Linked DNA regions of Elephas maximus indicus. The protein of the gene in region 2 binds, or shares a complex with, the protein of the main gene of each other region. Links are inferred from orthologs where the notes say so. Each region holds a gene or a part of one and is shown on either strand. Other genes may lie near its edges. The genes, in order: METTL3, RBM15B and WTAP.

What was found.
Region 1: RBM15B (region 2) and METTL3 share a complex: the UniProt entries of both Homo sapiens proteins name them as parts of the WMM complex. The link is inferred for Elephas maximus indicus from reciprocal best matches to the Homo sapiens genes RBM15B and METTL3.
Region 3: RBM15B (region 2) and WTAP share a complex: the UniProt entries of both Homo sapiens proteins name them as parts of the WMM complex. The link is inferred for Elephas maximus indicus from reciprocal best matches to the Homo sapiens genes RBM15B and WTAP.

Annotation. Positions count from the first base shown.
Region 1 is NC_064828.1:31,865,281-31,873,109, forward strand, and holds the start of METTL3 (N6-adenosine-methyltransferase catalytic subunit), read right to left. Parts: upstream 3,020-7,829; 5' UTR 2,857-3,019; coding exon 2,757-2,856; intron 1-2,756. UniProt on the Homo sapiens protein: The METTL3-METTL14 heterodimer forms a N6-methyltransferase complex that methylates adenosine residues at the N(6) position of some RNAs and regulates various processes such as the circadian clock, differentiation of embryonic and hematopoietic stem cells, cortical neurogenesis, response to DNA damage, differentiation of T-cells and primary miRNA processing.
Region 2 is NC_064838.1:55,571,951-55,579,337, reverse strand, and holds the start of RBM15B (putative RNA-binding protein 15B), read right to left. Parts: upstream 3,008-7,387; 5' UTR 675-3,007; coding exon 1-674. Other genes in the region: MANF (mesencephalic astrocyte-derived neurotrophic factor), read right to left, coding at 3,343-3,527, 4,828-4,969, 5,759-5,886, 6,510-6,594. UniProt on the Homo sapiens protein: RNA-binding protein that acts as a key regulator of N6-methyladenosine (m6A) methylation of RNAs, thereby regulating different processes, such as alternative splicing of mRNAs and X chromosome inactivation mediated by Xist RNA.
Region 3 is NC_064819.1:232,092,966-232,100,511, reverse strand, and holds the start of WTAP (pre-mRNA-splicing regulator WTAP), read right to left. Parts: upstream 3,011-7,546; 5' UTR 2,980-3,010; intron 2,861-2,979; exon of another isoform or gene 2,761-2,860; intron 2,672-2,760; exon of another isoform or gene 1-2,671. UniProt on the Homo sapiens protein: Associated component of the WMM complex, a complex that mediates N6-methyladenosine (m6A) methylation of RNAs, a modification that plays a role in the efficiency of mRNA splicing and RNA processing.

The DNA.
Region 1 (7,829 bases), on a different chromosome or scaffold from region 2:
CCAGCCCCCAGAACGGTAAAAGAATTGCCATACTTTAAAAAAAAAAGCAGTAACTGAGTCATTTGTCTATTCAGGCAGTCCCCAGGTGACAAATGTCCTACTTAAGTACAATCTGTAGTTATGAACCAACACCTGTAAAGACTATTATATTAAAAATTTGAGTTACATACAATGGTTCGTAATAACAAATGGGCGCTACTTTTCGATATGCATCAAAACATTATCATTACTACTGCATTATCATGTTAAAGATGTTTTAATGTAAATGGAAAACCAAAAAAACAAATCCATTGTCACGGAGTCGATTCCGACCATAGCGACCCTACCGGACAGAGCAGAACTGCCCCACAAGGTTTCCAAGGAGCACCTCGTGGATTTGAACTGCTGACCTTTTGGTTAGGAGATGAACTCTTAACCACCACGCCACCAGGGTTTCCATGTATATGGAAGTGTTTCTTTAATGTTTTTATGCGTTGAAAGGTACACTATATACTATATGCTAAGACAAACATTTGACTAACTGACATTAGATACCAACCATACCTAACTGTTCTGACTTTCGTACAAACTCGACTTAAATACAGATTTAGGAGCAGAGCTCGTTCGTAACCTGGGGGCTGCCTGTAAAAGAGATGTAAGAGTCATATTTTCCATATAAAATTGAAGTGCGTAAAATAAAAAGTTCTAAGACAGCACTGAGCTTCTATTAAGGGTAATGGAAAAACTCGGGAATGGTAATGGTCAAACAACATGATGAACATATTTAACGACAGTCAACTATACATGTGAAGACCATTGAAATGGCAAATGCGTTGTTACCTATATATTTACCACACCAAACAAACAAACAAACAAAACAAAGACGGGAATGAAAGAATAAGAAAAAATAGAAAACTGGGCCTACAACAAGTCAAAGGAGTTGAAGTTTATAGATCAAGAAAAAAATTCTTGCTCTTGGGTAAATCAGTACCTACTCCAATGCCTAACTACTATTTATCCTCTGATCATAGGACTTGCACTCCTGCCTCTCCTCGCCCCTCCCTCTTACCTTCTCTTTAATTACCTAAGTCCTATATAGCCTTCAAAGCTGGAAATTCAAGTGCCAACTCCCCCACCATGTCCTTCACTGACTAAACCAGGTCTTGTTACTTCTCCCTTGGCTGTACTCATTCATTCACTTGGTGCTTTACATATATTATATTTCTGACTTTTTATAAGCATCCATCCTTTATCCGCAACTAAAATTTAAACTCCTTGAATGCAGGAAAAACGTCTTATTTTTGTCTAACTAGACTGGTGCACACTGTACTTTCTTGATGTTATTACTTATGAGAATCCTGCCAGAGGATCTTTCAGTTCCAGGTGCCAGAATATGAGCACATGGACCTAACATGCCTCTAGGCAAGATTTAGACAGATTCCCGCATACTAATAAACACTGGAACAAAACACCAGAGATAGAATGGATTCACTATGTTAGTACATCTTCATAAATGATTTACCTTAAATAGTTCAGTGCTTGTGCAGGGGTGGGAGATAGGGTGAAACTTGATAATCTTTTGATGTCCCTTCCAGGTTTATGACTGTGACACAGGGGACAACTAGAGGGTAGAAAGTTTAAAAACCAAAAACAAATGCTTTCAGGTTCTTGTCTGGGATGTAAATAACTGAAGCCCTGGTGGCCTAGTGTTTAAGAGCTAAAGATGCTAACCAAAAGGTCGGTAGTTTGAATCCACCAGCGGCTTCTTGGAAACGCCATGGAGGAGTCCTACTCTGTCCTATAGGGTCGCTAAGAGTCACAATCGACTACGGAAATGACTAAGACAGTGCCAGATCTCCCACTCATTCAGCAACCAAAAAACAACCCGCTGCCATGGAGCTGGTTTCGACTCATAGCTACCCTGTAGGACAGAGTAGAACTGCCCCAGAGGGTTTCATAGGCTGTAATCTTTACAGAAAAGAGCACTGGCTGCGCAGTGGTCAAAGCACTCATCCGCCAACCAAAAGGCTGGAGGTTCAAATCCACCAGCCTCTCTGCGGAACTAAGATCAGCAGTCTGCTTTTATAAGGATTACAGCCTTGGAAACCCGATGGGGCAGTTCTACTCTGCCATAAAGGGTCGCTATGACTCCGAATTGACTCACTGGCAAAGGGTTTGGTTTTCTCAGTAATCTTCACAGAAAGCAAACTGCCACATCTTTTTCCTGCGGTGGGTTCGAACAGCTTATCTTTCGGTTAGCAGCCCAGCGCTTAACCACTGTGCCTCCAGGGCTCCGGCTTATTTAGCAACACCGAGTGCCAACTTGGCGCGGGCCATGAACTGGGCACGGTAGATATAAAGTTCCTTGCTAGCAGTGTCGAGTCGCAAAGAAGTGACGACTACAGCGGGAAGAACAAAGTGCCAAGGAAACACCAGGAAACGGGGCTTGCTGGTCACGATTCGCGGGGTAGGGGCCTGAGAGGTATCCCAAAGGCGAAGTTATCGCAGATGAGAAGTCGACTGGATGGCAGAGGGTGGGGCTCGGGCGTCCGGGAAAAGGGAGCTGAAGGAACCAAGACTCGGGATAGGGAGCGACCGTGAACTACTTGCAGTAGGGCGAAGAGTCTGTGAGCCTGAGGGGAGGGACTTGTCAATGGACTAGGCGGGAAAGAAATGGCGGCTTGGGGAAGGGCGCCGATCTGGGAGCTGTCTTCTTCTTTAGGGGTCCCTCCCGCCCTCCCCGGCGGGGCATCGGCCCCGACAGCCCCGCGCCTCACCCAAGTGCCCCGAGTCCTGCTTCCGCCTCCGCTGCAACCTCTCCCTCAGCGAGTCCAGCTGCTTTTTGTGGGCCTGGATAGAGCTCCACGTGTCCGACATCCTAGTCTCCCAGCGCGGACGCGTCTCGAATCAGGCGCGGTGGACAAGCACCTCCCAGCCCTCTTTTCAGGAAATATTCTATTCCAACGCGGACACCCTAAGGCTCACCGGAAAGGGATTCCCGGAGCTGTGCAAGAAGAAAAAGCCACTTCCGGTTTCGCGCTCGCTTTGAAGCTGAAATTAAAGCCACCTTAGGTGTTGGCAGAGTGGCAGATACAGTGTATATACGTTCTTTGTGGGCGCTTTCTCAGGCTTCCGGGTAAGGTGAAGCCGCGGCTGCCATGTTGGTGGCTGGCAGAGCGACCATGTTGCTTATAGACGTGCATGCATCCATGTTGAATTTTAGATGAGTTCTGCGAGTTGACCTATGTTGATGACAGCTCTATTAGAATTGCACGTGCAATACAGAGTTTTAAAATGAAGAATCACTAGCCTTTTAACAGTTTAGTACTAACATGCCTTTTCCACTCAAAGTGTAGGTTTTTGTCTGCATACATTCATTTATAAAGTAATACCTCTCCCTCTCGTCCTCCATCTCTCTCGCTATCCCTGTATTCGCGCTTTTTGGGGTTGGAGGGGAAGGGCTTGCGGAGCAGAGATGTTATGAGGGGACTACAAATACATATTCTCACTCTTCTCATTTATACCAAATCTGTATCATGTGTAATAGGATTGGTGGCTAACTGAAAGGTTTGAGGTTCACATACACCCAGAGGCATCCTGGAAGAAAGGCTTGGCCATCTACTTCGAAAAATCAGCCACTGAAAACCCTATGGAGCTCAGTTCTACTCTGACACACATGGGGTCACCGTGAGTCTAAATTGACTAGATGGCAACTGGGTTCTGGGTTTAGGGGAGATTCTGAGTTTCTGATTACTTGTTTCTTATTCTGGGACCTGGTGGTTGCATGAGTGTGTTCAGTTTGTGAAAATTAATTGAATTGGACATTTTGGTACGTGCTTTTCTGTTTGCATCCAAAAAACCAAAAACCAAACCCAGTGCCGTCGAGTCGTTTCCGACTTATAGCGACCCTATAGGACAGAGTAGAACTGCCCCATAGAGTTTCCAAGGAGCACCTGGCAGATTCGAACTGTCGACCCTTTGGTTAGCAGCCTTAGCTCTTAACCACTATGCCACCAGGGTTTCCTCCGTTTGCTAGTAAACTTAAATGCAATTAAAAAAAAAGGGGGGGGGGTCTTCTGAATTGAAATATTTGTAAAATGCCTACATGATGCCAAACACTGTGTCTGAAAAATAGTTTGAAAAGCATCGCTCCTGTTTTCAAAGACTTTCTGGTTTAGTAAGGGAGTTAAGACTCAGCATAGGCAGCATGAGCAAAGGCTCTACAAGAGAAAAGTGATCGCAAAGAAAAGGGAGGACTCAAAGCTCAGATTACTGGGGAAATCATTAGAAAGAAGGTGGCATCAAGGTTCAGATTTGAACTGACAATAGGAGAGAATTCCAAGCCAAAGACGTGATAAAAACAGAAGTCTAGACTAGTGTTAGAAAACATGATGTATGTTCTGCTAATCCAGATTAGTTCAGTAGAACATTGAGATTTATATATAGGAATATTAAGAGGAAATGTAGGTTTCCAAATTGGAGGCCAGATTGCAGAAAACCCTGCAGTTTATTCAGAATACAATAGGGAACATTTAGAGTTTGTCAATAAGGAGTGCTTTAAAATAATCTTGTGTTCTTGATGGATTGAGGCAGGGAGGACAGAGAGTTTGGAGAGAGAGTGTTATGGACTGAATTGTGTCCCCTAAAATATATATTGAAGCCCTGCTTGGCTGTACCTATGGATGTGATCCTGCTTGGAAATAAGGTTTTCTTTTATTACGTTAATGAGATCATACCAGAGTAGGGTAGGTCCTAAATCTAATCATTTCTGAATTATAAAAAGAGCAGAGTAGACAAAGAAACACACACGGGGAAGATAGATGCCAAGGAACATCAAGGAATGTCAAGGAATGCTCGCAGACGCTAGAAACTAGGAGAGAGGCTCACAAAAGAAATCAACATGGCCAAGAGCTGATTTGCACTTTAGGCCTCCAGAACTGTGAAAAAATAAATGTTCTTTAAAGCTACCCACTTGTGGTATTTCTGTTATGGTAGCACTAGGTAACTAAGACACAGGGAAAATGGTTAGTAGCCTTTAGGACTAATTGCTTGATTATAAGACCTTCAACTTACTCAAAGGCTGGCTATGGGTAGCAACGGAAAGGAAGAGGTGAATATGAAGGAGGGCTATTGAGAAGATGTGTGTGTACTGGAATGTGAAGTCCTATCCATTTATATGGCAAGTATTTATTGAATGACTACTATGTGCTAGGTAATGTACAGATTAAGTAGTGATCAAAATATTTCCATCTCCTTTTCTGAATTTACTTAGTAGGGAACTGTCTTTTGAGGTGCATAACTTTGTGTCTGAGCAGTGAGGTAGAGGTCACAGAAGTAAATATGGGCTCCTATAAACATCTCTGGACATTTAATCCTCAGGTTTAGTTAATCCTGAAAGCGAAATACTCTTGTGAGAGTTGGCTGTTGTGAGATCATGCAAGATTACTCAAGCCGACTGCTCTACCCAGGGGTTTTGCTTCCTTTAATGACTTGGGGCTGGTAATTGTCTACAGGAAAGTTGACAAAGACCTCTTTTTGCTTTTGTTCTTTCATTGGGTGTATCCTTGCATATTTTTTGTGCTCCTATGTTAGACACGTATTATTACTAAAGTGAGGTAATCCCAACTGTTAATTGTTCACAAAACTGAATTCCTTACTTGTTAGATCACTTTCTTTCAAGGCTGTTAACACATGTGAAATGAAATATATAGAAAATATATAGCGGTTAGGTTTAGTCTTGGGGGAAAGAGAACTGGATATGGCCTCACAGAAGATGAAGGGGGTTGATTCACTTTAAAAACAGGATTCCAGAAGTTAACTCCCAAACATTATAAGCACTTTTTGTCTAGGAAAGGGAGGATTTTTCCTGGGAGAGACTCAATTTCTTGTAGAATTTGGGATACCTAGGCCTAAATTGTCTCCTCTTACCTGCAAAAGAAGCCAAAGAAGTAGGACAGGTACTCCAAATTGAGGTCAACCAAATCAAGGGCAGCTACCAGAAGTCTTTGTTTACACACTCATTGAGTAAATTATTACCCCAGTGGCACACTGCTAACCGAAAGGTCAGGGTACAAACCCACCAGCTGCTCCTTGGAGAAAGATGTCGCAGTTTGCTTCCGTAAACACTTATATAGCCTTGGAAACCCTATGGGGCAGTTCTACTCTGTCCTATAGGGTCACTATGAGTCAGAATCTACTCACAGCAGTGGGTATTACCACAGTAAATTAGGCAAATTTTAGGAGCCTAGGAGGGTCACTTAGCATTATCTGCTTACAGAGGGACTCTTTATAGACTCCTTATGATCAGTTTTCCACTCTAAAGAAAGCCAGGTGTTTGTGTGCTCACCAGTAGCCCACCCACTTACAATCCCGTGCAATGTTGAGAGAAAGGAGGGAACCTCACCCAGACCTCTTCTAGTCAGAGTGGAAGCTTGGTTGTGACCATATAAGTACTACATGCATTGCACTTCTTACCTTTTTCTCATATATGTTACGGTAGATTGTTTCCAAAGCTAGCCACATAATGCCTCCCATTCCTTAAGCAGTGAGACTTTGCCATGCTTCCCATCAGGAGTTAAAGCTTAGTTCCCCTCCTTTTGAATCTGAAATGGCATTGTGACTAGCCTTGGCCAACAAACTGGCAGAAGTGATATTCCCTGAGCTCCAGAGCCTGGGCCTTAAGAGGCATTTCAGCTTCCGCTTTTCCCTCTTGTAGCCCTAACTCTTCCCGGGAGTCCAGTTAGATAGACCTAATTAGTCCTGATAGATAGACCGCTTAAGGGATGCTGGAGGTTGACACAGCAAAAGAGAGAGGTTCCAGCATCCCAGCTGAGGGTCCAGAAGTGAGTGAGGCCATCTTTAATCTTCTAGCCCAAATTGCAGCTGCCTGAGTGAGCCCAGCCCTCACATGGAATGGAGACAAGCCAACCTAGCTGAGCCCTGTCCAGACAGCTCATGGAATCATAAGCAAATACATAATTATTGTTTAAGATACTAAATTTCGGGATGGTATGCTACACAGCATTGGATTACAGAAATGCCCACCCAAACCCACTGCCGTCAAGTCAATTCCAACTCAGTCAGAGTAGAACTGCCCCATAGAGTTTCCAGGGAGCACCTGGCAGATTTGAACTGTCGACTTCTTGGTTAGCAGCTGTAGCACTTAACCACCACACCATCAGGGTTTCCGAATACTACTGACCAAATACTACACTTCTATTGCTGTACTTTTTTTTTCCTTCTTCTTGTCCATACTGTTTACTATTTGATTGGCAGCAAAATTTCACTAGGATTAGTCAATCTACTATTATTAAGCTAAAGGTTAGAAAAGACAAAAAAATGTAAAACCAAGTCAAAGTTGAGTCTAACTGAAAGTAAAACTAGTTTCGTGTGTTTTGGGATCCTATCATCATTTAAAAAATATATTTTCTCTCCTTCTACACTGAGTTCCCCAAGGGACAGAAGTGTGTCTTATTTACCTTTATACCCAATAAACACCTGGTCTCCGAAGCAAAGCAAATCCTCAAAAATTGACTGAATGAGTGAAGAAGCTGTCTCTTGCTTCTTATAATAGTGATGCTTTTATTAATCCAGGTTGAAGTGGACTGTGTTTATTTCACATAAAGTAAGCGTTTTGCAAGCTGCATTTACATACTCATTCCAGTAGATTAATATACCTTCTAAAAAGATGACCTAATAAAGAGTAATTGACTGAGAAATGGTGGGGCTAGGGTAGGTTGCAAGACAGAAGAAATGAAAAGCTCTAAGAAGAATAAATCAAGGGCAAAGAGAGAAAAGAAACAGTAATAAAAGCAATGAAAAGAAGAAAAAGCAGGAGGACAGGCGAGGAA
Region 2 (7,387 bases):
CCACCGCCGCCGCCGCGAAGGTACACGGGCTCCACCTTGAGCGGGCGGTCGTAGAGCAGCAACTGGCGGGCCAGGGCGTGCTGGCGGGCCTCGCGGGCGTCCTGTGGGTGCCGGAAGTTCACGTAAGCCACACGGCCCAGCTCGGGCGTGTGCGACAGGCGCAGGCTGATCTCGCCGAAGCGCTTGAACTGATGGAAGAGCCGGTCCTCGAGGTGCTCGGCGGGCAGCGCGGGACTCAGGCTGCTGATGAGTAGCGTCTTGTACTCGGGCGCGGCCGCCGACGAGCCGGGGCCCGCAGGCTCCGCTCCAGGCGGTGGCGGAGGCGGTGGCAGCGGGGACGCGCGGGGTGACGCGCCCGAGGCTCCCGGGTCCCCGGAGGCCTTGCCGCCGCGCCCCCCGCCGCCGGCGCCCGAGCTGGAGGAGCGGCCGCTGCTCGCACGGTGATTCACGTCCCCCGCGCCGCGGCCGTCGCGATGTCCGCCCCCTCCGCCGCCGCTGCCGCGGGGCTTGTCGCGGGCCCGCGCCGGAACGGGGTGCTTGGCGCCGCCCGAGGCCTTGTGCGCCGCCCGCCGCCCGCCCGCCTCCGCTTCCCGCTCGCGCTCCCGCGGTCGCTTGGCCGACGATGACGAGCCGCGCCCGCTCGGGCTCGAGTCTCGCTCGCTCTGCCGCTTCATGGCGCTGGCGCTGCAGGCGGGCGGGCGGCCCGCAGCCCCTTCACAGCGGCGGCGGCGGAGGCTGAGGAGGAAGCGCCCCCGGCGCCGCCATCTTGGACAAAAGGACTCGCTGCGGCGGTGGCGGCGGGGCGGGGCGGGAGAGGCACCGAGGGGCTGGACGTTGCGTTATCAGGCCGCGCCGGCAGCGTCACGTGACCTCATGGCGGGCGGGGAGGAAGCCGCGCCGGGCGTGCGTCATCAGGCGACGTCGTCTGTACCACGTGACCCCCGCGGCCAGTGGGTAAGCGGGGTCCAGGAGCGCGCTCTGGCGCCACCACGCGGCCGAGACTGGGGCTACCTAGAGCGATCAGAGCCGTGGAGACAGTCGGGCTGACTCGCTCCGCCTTGAGTCCCAGAGAATCCGGCCGGACGTCGGCCTCACATGTCGCGCCGGGTCTGGTCTCCTGTCGCCGGCGCTGATTGGAGCATGAGTGGCAGCCTCCGTGGGTGCTGGATTCCGGGGCCTTGACCTAGCAGACTCTTTACGTGGTGGTCCCGAATTCCGGGACTAGGCTTGAAAAAAAGGCCGCCCCTAATCCCCGTCACGGTGACTTCTGCCCACCCAGGTGTCCAGGTTGACAGCCCGAGGGCTGACGCATACCCTTACCCAGAAGGAGCCCACAGCCTACATCCTGCGCACTCAGGTTCACCTGCAGCGCTTTCAGGAATGGTCATGTGGCCCATGGCTGTGGCTGCAGGAGGCAAGGCCGGTCTTGAGTTCAGGCATAGAAACCACAGACCCACAAACCTTCGTTTCACTGATCGAAATAAACTCTTTGGCGTCACTGGGCCCCACCCTTTGCTTTGGGCCTCCCGGCAGACAAAGAGCTAAAAAGGCAAGGCTACCCTGAGCCTAAAAACAGGAGCCTCGCCAAACCTGCAGGGAGTTCCAGCACTTGGCAGAGCCTTCTGTCCTGACTTCACCTGGCCCGTGCCCTCCTGTCCACCTTGTAGGGCAGAGCCTCTTTTCCTTCCCTTGTGCCCAAGCCCATTGGGAAAGCTTTCATTCTCCAGGAATTGTTGCTGGAGCTATCGCTGAACCTGACGCAGCCTCAGCCACAGAAACTGTGGTATGAGGAAACTTGCACTTCAGGCTTTCCCTCTTTCCCAACCAGAAAGCAGCCTCTGGAGTGGCTGATGGGGAAAGTAGGGGATGGGGGTAGGAGCAGGACACCTTTAGTGGTGCATAGTCTCTTAATACCTGCTTCCAAAAAGAGCGACACCAACATTCTCCACAAATAACCCTGGGGCCTGTGAGGCTCCGTTTTCTGTTCCCATATTCAGTGTGGCCTGGAGGACACGGAGGCTGCAGGCACACATCAGATCTGGGGTGGTGGCCTAAGACAAGTCCACCAGCTACAGCCACACTTTCCCAGCACCTCTGGGGGGCTGGGGACACTTACTGTGCTAGTCAGACCTCAACAGCCCATGTAATTCCCCCAAACAGGGGGATCTGGGCCCTGAGAAGTGCCTTAACTTTCCCTTCCTCTCACATGTGCCATTGCAGAGCTACAAAATGTGGGAGGTGTACTGCCAAGCAGTAAGAAGCACCCTTCAAGCAAACTGAACTTAGACACCAAAGACCTCATTTCTTGGAAAGCACTGCTTCTTATTCTCTCTTCAGGCATTCTCTACAGCAGCAGAGGTGCCTCCACTGAGCCAAGCTCATGCTGGCAGCTGGGTTTCCTAAGTGCCAACCCCACACAGACAGCAGCTAAAAAACCATACTCCAGGGGACACCATGAGGGCAAGTCCTCAGAATCTCAACTGTTAAACAAGGCAAAAGGCAGCTGCCCACTGCCTCTGTTCAAATCAATCTCCGCAGGTCTTGCAAAATCCCAGTTAGGCATCAGAGGCTTGGAACTGGCACCAGACCACAGACCCGGACAAGCACGTTCGTGGCCAGCCCAAGAGTACCTTTAGGAATGTCAGTACTGAATAGACGGCGTTCGAAGTCACCATCAGAGAAAACCAAACTCCAAGTACCCTCCAGCCTGCTCATACTGAACCCAATGCAAACCCCCTCCTATGTTCATCACACTCATTTCTCCCCTCCCCACTCCCGCACCCTCCCAGCAACAGCTGTGCAGCCTCCAGCCCCTCTCATTGGGTAAAACACTGGGAGGTGGGGTGCCAAGCCCAGCCTCCTCCCCAGGCTCCATTTAGCTGGGAGGGGGCCTGCTACCCTCCAGTCCTTCAAGACCCAACACATGTCAGCTGGCCTCAGCCCATGTCCTGCCTTGGTGCTTCCAACACTGGTTAGTGGTTGAGGAACAGGTGGGAATATATTAGAAAATTTTTGGCAAACTGGAAAGCATCTGCTGGCGAGGTCCTCATTATGGAGTGAAGCCCTACTTCAATATTCGCGTTAATTCTCCAAGAACTAGAAATTTTTTTCCTTTAATAAAAAAATCCCAGACACACTTTCAAGTCCTAGAGTAAACCAGCAACAGAATGAAGTGAATCCCCCCACAGGGGTGCTGTCGAGCCAGCATCATCAGGAAAGCTCCAGGCTTCATACCTGACATTGTCAGGAGCCCGATTAAAAAATAAATTACAAAAAGGCTGCTTGGGAAGAGACAGAGGAACTGTTTTTTTCTCCCCTCCAGTGCAGCAGGGGTCAGGCAGACTACAAATCAGTCCGTGAACTGGCTGCCTTGGGGGCGTATTTAGGCATTAGTTCGTTAATCTTCCGGATATAGTCGGACTTTTCTGCACAGCCTTTGCACGTCTCCCCCCAGTCGTCCAGGATCTTTTTCAGCTCTTTAACTCGGAGCTTCTTCAGGTCCGCTGTGCTCAGGTCGATCTGCTTGTCTGGAGGAGAGAGCAGGGAGAGTGACCGGCTGGTGAGAGTGGCCACTACCCCACAGTAGTCCCAGGTCAGGTCATTCCTGCAAGGCCAACCTATCCCTTAGAACATGCGGCCCTCCTGGTTTGTAGGGGGAGAGAGATTCCCAGACACATACAGGTGTGTCAGTGCCCACTGCCCCTGAGAGAAGAGGCTCAGGCCCCTTCATCAGGAAGGCTGGCCTCATGTCGCAGCGTCCACCAGACACGCAGTGTTGCCAGGGACAGGGATGGAGGCTACACGGTCCTTACAGGAGGAGCACGGCTCCCACCCCAAGTGCCTCTCACAGTCACAGGAGAGATCAAGTCTCTGCAGAATGGCAGTACCAAGCTATGATGGAGCAGGTAGCTCTCCTAGCCCTGATTTCCCAACATCAGTCTGGTTAGGCCCTTGAGGCAGGAGCTATTCTCCATGACTGCTGTGTCCACGACCCAGATGGACCTCTACCAGGATGACTCTCAGGACCAGGCATCCCTGACACAAGCAGGTAAACACAGACCCATGGACGTTCAAGTCATAATAAAATATGTTGGCGCCGTCACAGAAGAGGACAACTATCCTTGGCTCTGACTCTTTCATACTCAAACACAGGCCTGGCTATGTTTGTGCAACCAGACTGACTCAACAAGAGATGCTGTGGTTCCCCCACTCTTGGGCTTGCCATGCCTGTGTGGACAAGAACAATGGGTCTTCAGCTCATGTTCCTTCTCTGATCAAAAATCTCTAATGGTCCCTACTTCACTCAGACTTGAAGCCCAAATCCTTTCAGACCTGCTCACTCATCTGTCACCCCACTTTGATCCGCTAACTAGCCTCATGCTAATCCCACACCTCCTTCAGAGCTTTGCCGAAATGTCACCTCCTCACTGACATCCTGCTGTGATGAACAGATCACCTCCCTCCCCCAGCATTTAGCACCATCTATGTTTTTTTTTATGGTGGTACAAACGGTTAACACGCTCGGCTGCTAACTGAAAGGCTGAAGGTTTGAGTCTACCTAGAGGTGCACTGGAAGAAAGGCCTGGTGATCTACTTCTGAAAAACAAGCCACTGAAAACCCTAGAACGCAGTTCTACTCTGACACACATGAGATTGCCATGAGTCGGGTCAACTCGATGGCAGCTGGTTTACATGTTTACCATACCGTATAACCCACTCACCATGGCTCTAGTTTATGATGTGCCCCCTCAACTACAAAGTAACTCAACGAGACCTGGCTGCAGAAGCTGTGCAGTGTTTGTTAAATAAGGCCGGGAAAGCACTCACCATACTTCAGCTCGCAGATCTGGCTGTCTTTCTTCTTGAGCTTCTCACAGATCTTCTCCACAGGGATGTGGTGGGCTAGGGGCTTAGACACCTCATTGATGATCTTGGTGGCTGCATCATCCGTTGCCCCTATGTAGTAACACTGCAGCAAGAAAGGACAACAGCCTTCAGGAGATGTCACATGAGAGCCATCTCCTCCAGAACATTTTCCTTCTCTGCCAGGGCCTCATTTCCTGGTGCCTGCCTGCACTGGCACTCAGATGCAAGCCAGTATAAACTCCAGACTCTTAACACCTGTTTGGTCCCAGACCTGATGGCCACCGGATGAGCTTAAAAGTCACCAGGGTTCAAACTTTTTAACAGACAAACCACATGCTACCCAAAAATAAATAAGTAAATAAAGCTACAAAAGCCACTGCTTCACTAGGGGCCCTTGCTCTCAGTTTGGGCCTGGCTGACCCTGTTTACACCTCATTACCTTCTCCTTCCATCCTCACACATGGTAAGCCCATTCTGGCCTCTGGGCACTGGCAATGACTGTTCCCTCTGCCTGAGATGCTCTTCCCCAACTTCAATGATGAGCCTTCCTCAGAGAGCTACTTCTTGACCACTCTGTTTAAATCAGTACCACCCCCTCCACTGTACCACCTGGGTCCATTCTCTTCATGGCATCCAGCCCAGTCATTGTTTGTCTGTCCAACTGTCATCTCTCCCCCAGTAATCTCAGTGACCAGCACATAGTGGGTGCTCAGTAAATACTAAGAGGAGAAGATATCTCAACGGCAGAATACACTTCAGAAAGTGCTTGGGTTCTGTGTTCTGACAGACAGCTCTCCTAGCACACAGGTGGGTGGGGCCTTCTCAAGAGGCCTGTGAAGCCAAGGGTTAAACAGGGGCCAGGACCAGCTTGGGAGGGTCACCAGCTACTCACCAATCGGTTTTCTTTCCCTCTTGCTTCACGGCAGAAACTGATAAGTTCTTTTTCAATAGTGGCTGGTGAAAATGCAACATCTTTGTTTTTCAGATCCTGGTAAAATCTTCCCAGATAAGAAATGCAAACTGGAAAAAAAAAAGGGAAGGGAGATGCTCAGCAACCACCAAGGGCACCCCCATCCACCAACAAGTAACTGTCAGCAATTCTAATGGGAGGCACGGAGATGAATCACTAGAGGTTCGTGTTTCTATCACCGAGTTTTCTCAGGTGGACAGAGTCCGGCTCGAAGTTGCTGGGGTTCCCTGATCCACCTGGGGCATGTGGGGTACGATCACCATCCCAATGACCCACAAACGATCTATGACCTCATAAACGGACAGGCTGGAGGCCAAGAAGAAAAACGATCTTGATGCATCTTATTTCCAAATACAACACCGAACCCCGTAGTGCAGCTTCCTGACCCCAACTCACGGGGCCCCGACTCGGGAGTAGCCGCTCCCGAGAGCATCTGACCAGTGATGGGAAGGACAAGAACTCCAGCGTTATTGGAATTTCAAGCCAAGTTTTCAGGGCTATCTAGTCCCAACTTTTGGCCGTCGGACCAATCAATGTTCTGTAGGCCCGGGAGTGTCTGCCCCTCCTCGGGTGGACCTCGCAGGGATCGGCCGCCCCCGCCCCTTCAATGGTCTTGTTGGTGTCGGGGCCGCCGCTAGGCTGGACACGCCGCGCGGACTCGACCCCGCCGCACCTTCGCAGTCTCCGGGCCGCAGCGCCCCGCTGCCCGGCAGCACGCTCAGAGCCAGCGCCACCGCCAGCCCGTGCGTGGCCCACATCCTCCGCCTTCGTTGCCACCACTGCCGCCGCCGCTGCCCGACTAACCGCGCCCGCTGCGCTGCGCTGCGCTGCGCTGCACCGCCTCCAGGTCCCGGCCGCGCGCCGCGGCTCCCCATTGGTGGGTGGCCATCGCGCCCTCCCACACGCCGCGCTCCCATTGGCCCAAGGGCCTCGGAGCCCAGACGGTCGGCTCCACGCTACCCTTCCCCATTGGTTGGCAGCGCCGCCCGCCCTAGGCCCAAGACAGTTGTCCGCCGCTGATTGAACCAGGGTCTTCCGCAGGAAGCAGCGGCGGAGGCGGCGGAAGTGGGATGAGCCGCCATTTTGGACAGGGGCAGTGGCCTTACCGGCAACCGGGCGTTCCGGGCGGAAGTGGGATTTTGTGCCGCCCAGTGCATGCTGAATTGGGCTCTGCCCTGGGCTCTAACCTCGCCCTAAAAACTTCGGGAATTTCCTCGCCCAGGGCCCAGACTCACGGAAGGCTCAATAGGCTTCGTTCCTTTTTTTTAAACAAGCACGTGAGCGGAGGAATCAGCCTTTGAGTAGCAGCTGGGGGGCAGAGGGGGGGGATCAAACACCTGAGCCATTTCCGGATTTCCCCACCAGCCTCAGGGTTCCACCTGCTTTACGCCCGGGTGACCTGGGCCCTCCTTGCATGGCCGAAAGAGACCTTCTTCTGCGGGAGGACCTCCGCTCGAGAGGGCTGTGGACTCGCTAACCTCCGGGCTGCCGTCCTTGAGCTATGAGGGAAGCGCCTGAGCCCGTGCTACGTGACGAGGCTTTGGGGGTCAG
Region 3 (7,546 bases), on a different chromosome or scaffold from region 2:
ATCTTCTAGGTGTCTAGCTTTACTTTTTAACAAAGAATTCAGATCACAAAAATGGAATAACTGAAATGAAATAAAATTAATCTAACAGGTATCTGGAGTTCAATCTTGAAGGGAAAAAATGAAGAATATAGAAATGAAAAATGAAGTGCTTATGAGTCTCAATTACAATTTTTCAAAATCAATGTTACCCTCCATTTTCCAGATGATAAAATGATTGAGTTATTAGGTGATTATCTCAGGTTAAAACAGCTATTCATTAATAAATCGGCGGTTAGGACTCTGCCTCTTAAGACCTAGTAACTGATGGAGCGGTTAATGGCGGTGGCTGAACAACATAACGGACATATTTAACGTCGCTGAACTGCACATGCCAAGACTGTTGAAGTGGCAAATGTTTTGTTACCTATATGTTTACCACGATAAAAAATAAGTAACCGATGAAGATGATAACTCTCCCACTCTGCCTATCCCCAATAATGATTAGATTTAGCTAGCTGAAGTAGAGAAAATGGAGGTAAAGAAAAGCAAAACAGAAAAAAAATCAAAGCTAGCCAATTTACCTACCTTTGAGCAACTGAAGATAATTCGTTAAAACATGGTTTTAAAATTACATAAAGGCTTGTTATTTTAGTCAGATATAATATACCTCAAGTGTAGAATGTCAGAACCACCATCTACTCCTGATGCCTCAACACTAAGAAACAGCTTAGGATGGGAGTCCAGCTTTGGTTGGCTGGCTGCCTCGCATCCCAGATCTCAAAAGTTCCCTGGCTCTTCTCTCTCAACAGAAAGGCAGACCAGCCAAGGCAACTTCAATAAGAAGTCTGTAGATGGCTGAAGTTTATCACAACTGAACAGAAAAAGCCAATGTCCTGCAGGAGCTTGGCACTGTAGTAGAAAGGACACCACTTGGGAACTGGAAGATATCTTTTACTAACTCTTGTATCTATCAGCCATGTGATCTGGAGCAAATCACTTACCTCTCTGGGCTACGGTTTCCACATCAGCTAAAACGAAGATACAAATATTACCTACCACACAAAGTGCTACAAATCTCAACACTTGCAATGCCATAAAAATGCTACGCAAACAAGGGATTTTTCTAAAAAAAAAAATACTAATAAAAACATAAAAGGCAACTTTAACGTCCATTTAAGAAAGGTAGGTTTTGTTCTGCTAAAGAATCCACAAACAAAATTTAAGGTGGTCCATAAAAAACCAAAAACAAGCCTGCTGCTGTCACGTCAATTTCCACTCATAGCGCCCCTACAGCGTGGAGCACAACAGCCCCACAGGGTTTCCAAAGAGCGGCTGATGGATTCAAACTGCCGACCTTTTGGTTAGCAGCTGAGTTCTTAACCACTGTGACACCAGGACTCCAAGATAATAATATACATAGTTGGACAAGTCAAAATCGACCTGATGGCAATGGGTTTGGGTTTGGTCTTATAAAAATTGTGAAGATTACTAAGTAAACAATATTCTGAAACAAATGCTATACTACATACATGCAAGACTGTAAGGGACTTTGAAAGCTGTAATGTGCTATAAAAATGTAATTATTACAACTCATCTCAGTATCAGATTACCATAGGTTTTCTACATATACACCAACTCATTTTTGACCAACACAACACCGAAGTATTTTGAGCAAACATGACTCAAAATTAGGAAAGCTAGATACCACGGATTTCTATAAATTAGATGAAAAAATATTAGATGAGCCAGGTAAAAATCGGCAGTGCCTGGGACACACTAGCATTAGTACTTTCGTCCTTAAGGACTCAAGCTCCCCTCCCCCCACTGAGGTGTGTGTGCAAATCCCAATCATTAAGCTTTCAGCTCAAGATAAGGCAAGATCCAAAAGCATTCTAGAAACACACCTACCCAAACCTTAAATTTCAGCATCGACTTTGTCGGCAAGCCATGCTGTGGGCTGCAATCTCTATCCCCAACTTGCCTAATCAGATGTTAGTGAATAACACGATTAAATAAATGAAATTTAGCAATCCTAAAAAGACTTTCGCACCTAGTTTAATGGGGGTGATAGACCAGTGGCTTCCTCAGCAATGCAATTAACTAAATTCTAAAGCACGGAAAACAATAAAACAGGTATTAAAACATCTCGAGATTATAACATGCTAGTCAAAATATTTTTCTACCTCGGGCGAAATAATCGTTTTTTAATTTTATAATCACGGTAAATTCGGATTGTAACATAATTCCTTTGGGATCAAACATCCAATTAACTTCCTTTATCACCAAAACAAGAACTTAAGCTTTTCTGCTATATGTTCCCCACTGACTCATAAAAAATGGTAAAAAGATCCTTTAGTAACATTCTTCCGGGAATCCAAGGTGAGACTTAAAATCTCGAAATAATTCAATAAAGAACTGTTTCCTTACCCAGCATGCATGCCAATCATTAAAAATGGAACCCTCCCGGACCTTGTCCCTGCAGCCACGACCTACTGCGTGATGCGCGCTGCAAGAGCCAAGGCTGGTTCTCCCCCGGCACAAATGGCCGAGGGAGGCGGGAGGTCCGACCAGGGCGGCCCCGGCTCCGTGCCGACCGCGCGCCCGGGCCCCGGCGAGGACGGGGAAATGGCCTCGGGGCGCCAAGTGGGCAGCGCCAAGGGAGGCCGGCGTCCAGCGGCCGGGCCCCGAGCTGCCCGGCCTGCGCGCCGCTCCCCAGCCGGGCGGCGGAGAGGCCGGCGCCCCGACCTCGGGCTCGGCGGCAGCGCCCGCGGCCGCACCTACCTCCGCAGGCGGCCCGTCGCCCAGGCCGAGGCCGCGCTCGCACCGCGGCGGCCGGGCCCCGCCGCTCCTCCGCCGCCGCAGCCCGCGCGCCCCTTTATTTGCGGGTCTCGCTGCCACAAAATGGCGCTGAGGGAGGAAGCGCGGCCGGCCCCCGCCCCCGCCGCCCGCCCCGCCCCGCCCCATCGGCCGCGCGCCGCCATGTTCGCCCGCGCCGCTCACCACAGGTTGCCTCCCGGGCGCCGCTGCACCGTCCGCCCGCCCGCCCGCCCGCCGCGCCGCGCCGCCCCGCCGGCGGGAGGAAGGGCGAGGAGCGGCGGCCCCGGCGGAGTCTGGGCCTGGAGGCGCCGACGGCAGAGCTCTCCCTCGCGGCCCGTCCGGCTCTATCAGGTGTCCCGCGGCCGCCGGAGTCCGGGCGGGGAGGGGAGGGAGCCGGCGCGGCGGGGGCTGGGGGTCAGCCGCGGAGCATCACGGGAAGGGCGGCGGGGGTCGCGGCGGCGGCGGCGGACGCGCTCACCGCTGCCACCTGCGGGTGCGGCGTAGCTCCGCGGAGGGATCTGGCGCCGGCGGCGCGGTGATTGGCCGCTTGGGTGTCAGCGCGGCTTGGGTGTCAGCGCCGCTTGGGGACGCTTCCGCGAGCTAGCGGCCAGGTGTGGGCTCAGGAGGGAGGCTACCGGCGGACAGCTGTGTGAGCGCCGGCAGGGAAATCGGCACCGCTAAACTTCACGCTCTGTTTTGAGGCCGTAAGAGACCGATGCCCTTCTCTCATCGTGTAATGCAGCCGCGTGGCCGTTTGGTTCGTCCCCGCCTTGACATCCCTGGGGGAGAGGCCGAGGAGCTATTGTTCTGTAGCCGACGGAGGTTGTTGCGGGTGTCAGCAGCTTTGGGGGCAGCTTGCTAGCTCAGAAACGAGGGCAAGGCGAGCCCTGTGAGGTTTTAGTGCATCCGAGGAAATAAGTATTGTAATGTAAATATATTCCTTAAGCGTCTGGCCTATTTAGTTAGAACGGTGGTTACCTGGAAGATTTGAAATAGTCAAACACAAGACTGGTCAGGCAGTTCTTTTGATTGGTGTGCTCATAGCTGGCTCTACCAAAACTCTTGATCCCCGAAGAAGGTGTCCTGGAATGAAGTGTCTTATGAGGCTAAGTTTAAAGTACACCCTAGATAGTTAAAGGAGTCATGGTATATTCCCAGCAGATCAGATCAGACTGGAGAGTATATTTTCAAACTACATTACAGGAACTCTTAAAAACAAAAGAAAAAGACCAAAGTCCTGAATGAAAAACGGGTAAAGACATGAACAGGCAGTTCATAGAAAAAGAACAGCCATGGTCTTTAAACATGAAAGGATGCTCAGCCTCATGTATAAAAATGCACATGAAGTCACATGCCTTAAAGTTACAAGTCTGTGGAGAAACTGGGAATGGAAAATGATTCATGTTTTGTGGAGTACCAGAAGTACATGTACATTTATCCTTATTGCAATTCCACTTCTAACCCTAAAGTTATCCTGAAGATCCCAGTCCAGTTGCCGTGGTCTCCACTGTGACTCAGGGTGACCCCATGTGTGTCAGAGTAGAACTGTGGTCCACAGGGTTCTTTCTCAGTGGCTGATTTTTCGGAACTAAATCGCCACACCCTTTTCCCCAGGAGCCTCTGGGTGGGCATAAACTTCCAACCTTTCTATTAGCAGCTGAGTGCATTAACCTTTTACAACACCCAGGGACTATTTTGAAGATACATCTCCGCCAATAAAAACAACAAATTGTTGGTGCTGGACTACTGAAGGTTAGTGGTTCAGACCCACCAAACAGTACTGCAGAAGAAAGGCTTAGCAATCTATTTTCGTTAAGATTACAGGCAAGAAAATGCTATGGAGCAGTTCTGCTCAGTAACGTGTCAGGTCACCATGAGTCTAAATCCACTCCCAGGCAACAGGTTTGGTTTAGGTTTCATTCACCGCAGTGCTATTTATCATAGCTAAAGTTTGGAAATAACCTGAGTGTCCATTAATAGGAAACTGGCTGGCATTTGTACACACACATACACATTTTTATTTTGCAGGAAAAAAAAATTGAAAAGAGACCCTAGAAACTAACAAAAAGTTATCTATAGAGGGTGGGGGAGGTAGGAAGTAAAGGGATTAGAGATAGAGGCAAGACATCTCTTGACTTTGAACTTCTAACATTTTTACATAGTTAAAAAGTAAAACAGGAAACAAAGTAAACCCCCAAATTGAAAGCTAGTTGAAACAAATGAACCTAACTTCAAATTGGTGGTAACTGTTACAAAGAGAAAAGGATTCCCCCCCCCCCCAGGACTTTTGACCATAGCATTCCCACAGTATGTCTTTGCTGGGATATATTCTAAGAGTGAAAAAGAACAGCAAAGGGAATCTTCAGCTTCACTCAGTGGTTTGTAGTTGTAATTTTGTTACTGTGCCTTTGAAACTGTGTGTTGTGTGATAACATAAAATGTTATATAAAAAGACTTTGAGTACAAGAGGAAACCCTGGTGGTGTAGTGGTTAAGTACTATGGCTGCTAACCAAGAGCTCAGCACTTTAAATCTGCCAGGCATTCCTTGGAAACTCTATGGGACAGTTCTACTCTGTCCTATAGGGTCACTATGAGTCCAAATTGACTCCAGGGCGGTGGGTTTTTTTCAGTACAAGAAAAAAAAGATACAATGTCAAAAGTTCAGAAAAGTCCCGTAATGTTAAATTGGAAATATCAATTTGAACACATGATTAAAAAAATAAAATTTCTAGTTCTGTACACTGAAAGAGGCTAGAAGTACTCAGGTGACCAGCTGTCCCTGTTTGCCCAGGACTAAAGATTTTCCTGTGAGGCTGGACTTTCCATGCTAAAACTGAGACTGTTTCAGGCAGGTGTGCCTTGAGTCAATCTCGTTTGCGATATAAAAGAAATTAAGCAAGTGAGCAGCAGAGATGGGGGGAGAGAGATGCCAAGCCACATGAAGATTGCCTAGGAACAGAAGCTCAGAAGAGACCAGGACCTTCCTCCAGCACCGGCAGAGAGAGAAAGCCTCCCTAAAGCCAGCATTCTGAATTCAGACTTCTACCCTTCTAAACTGTGAGAAAATTAATTTGTTTGTTAAAGGCATCCACTTGTGACATTTCTGTTGTAGCAGCAGTACAGGGTCACCATGAGTCGGAATTTTTTAGCAGCACTAGGTAACTAAAACACCTGGAGATCTGTGGTTCATGCAGTGCTTTGAACTAGTTCAACCGGTTTGAACACCTGCTGCAAATTCCTTTGCCACCCCAGATATGCTGAATCACAATCTACACTTTAACAAGCTCCCCAGGTGATTCTTATATATGATAAAATTTGGGAGTCACTGTTCTACTAGTGGAAAGTCTGGTTGTGTAGTGGTTAAGAACTACGGCTGCTAACCAAAAGGTTCAACAGTTCAAATCCACTAGGCGTTCCTTGGAAACTATGGAGCAGTTCTACTCTGTTCTGTAGGGTTGCTATGAGTCGGAATCAACTCAACGGCAATGGGTTTTTTTTTTTTTTTTGTCTCTAACCAGTAGTATTAGCATCATCTGGGAACTTGTTAAAAATGCAGTTCTCAGCAGGAGTTCGAACCAGAAGGAACTGGCTCAAAGCTCTAGGTTCATCCCCAGTGGATGAGAAAAAAAACCCTTTACAATAGGATGCCAGCTAATAAATGTAGAACAAATGATATAATTAGAAAATAACCATTATGCAGCCCTCAATGAAATATTTGATTTAGGCAAGGATTACCAATGGATCAAAATTTTGGTGAAAAATGGCTGGGAAATAGAATATCCAAGTTGCGCCCAAGTATTGCCCCACAGGTTACTCCTTTGACTATAAAGAGGAAAGTACACTTGTATAGTGGAGCCATCTAGTGGCCATCACCGGAACCATGTGATAAAATTTAGTGTAAGTCGAGGGCACTGGGCACTGGGTGATAGGAGGAAGGAACTCTGGTGGTGCAATGGTTAAGCCAGGGCTTTGAACAGCTTCCTTCAGATTTGAACCCCTGCTCAGAATTTGCATTTCCACCCCAGACAGACTGAATCACAATCTAGTTTAACAGGGTCCCCAGGTGATTCTCATGTATGATAAATTCTCATGTATGGTGCTCAGAATTGGTCCCTAACCAGCAGCACTGCCACTGCCTGGAAACTTGTTAGAAATGCAAATTCCCAGGAGGGAGGTGAACCAGAACGAACCGGTTGAAAGTCCTGAGTTAAGCACTCAGCTGCTAACCAAAATGTCTGCAGTTCAAACCCACCAGCTACTCCGCAGGAGAAAAGACCTGGCAAAATACTCCCATAAAGATTTCAGCCTAAAGGTCATGGAAGCTCCATAGATAGATCCAAACTCCCTGAGGGACCGAATGACTGGGCTGAGGTTGTGGGGACCGTGGTCTCGGGGAACAATGCTCAATTGGCATAGCATAATTTACAAGGAAAATGTTCTACATTCTACTTTGGTGAGGAGCGTCTGGGGTCTTAAAAACTTGCGAGTGGCCGGCTAAGATACTCCACTGGTCTCGGAGCAAGGGAGAATGAAGAAAACCAAAGACACAGGGAAAGATTTGTCCAAAGGATTAATGGACCACAACTACCACAGCCTCCACCAGACTGAGCCCAGCACGACCTAATGGTGCCCGGCTACCACCACTGACTGCTCTGACAGGGGTCACCGTAGAGGGTCTTGGACAGTGCTGGAGAAAAATGTAGAACAAAATTCTAACTCAAAAAAAAGACCAGACTTAACTGGTCTGAG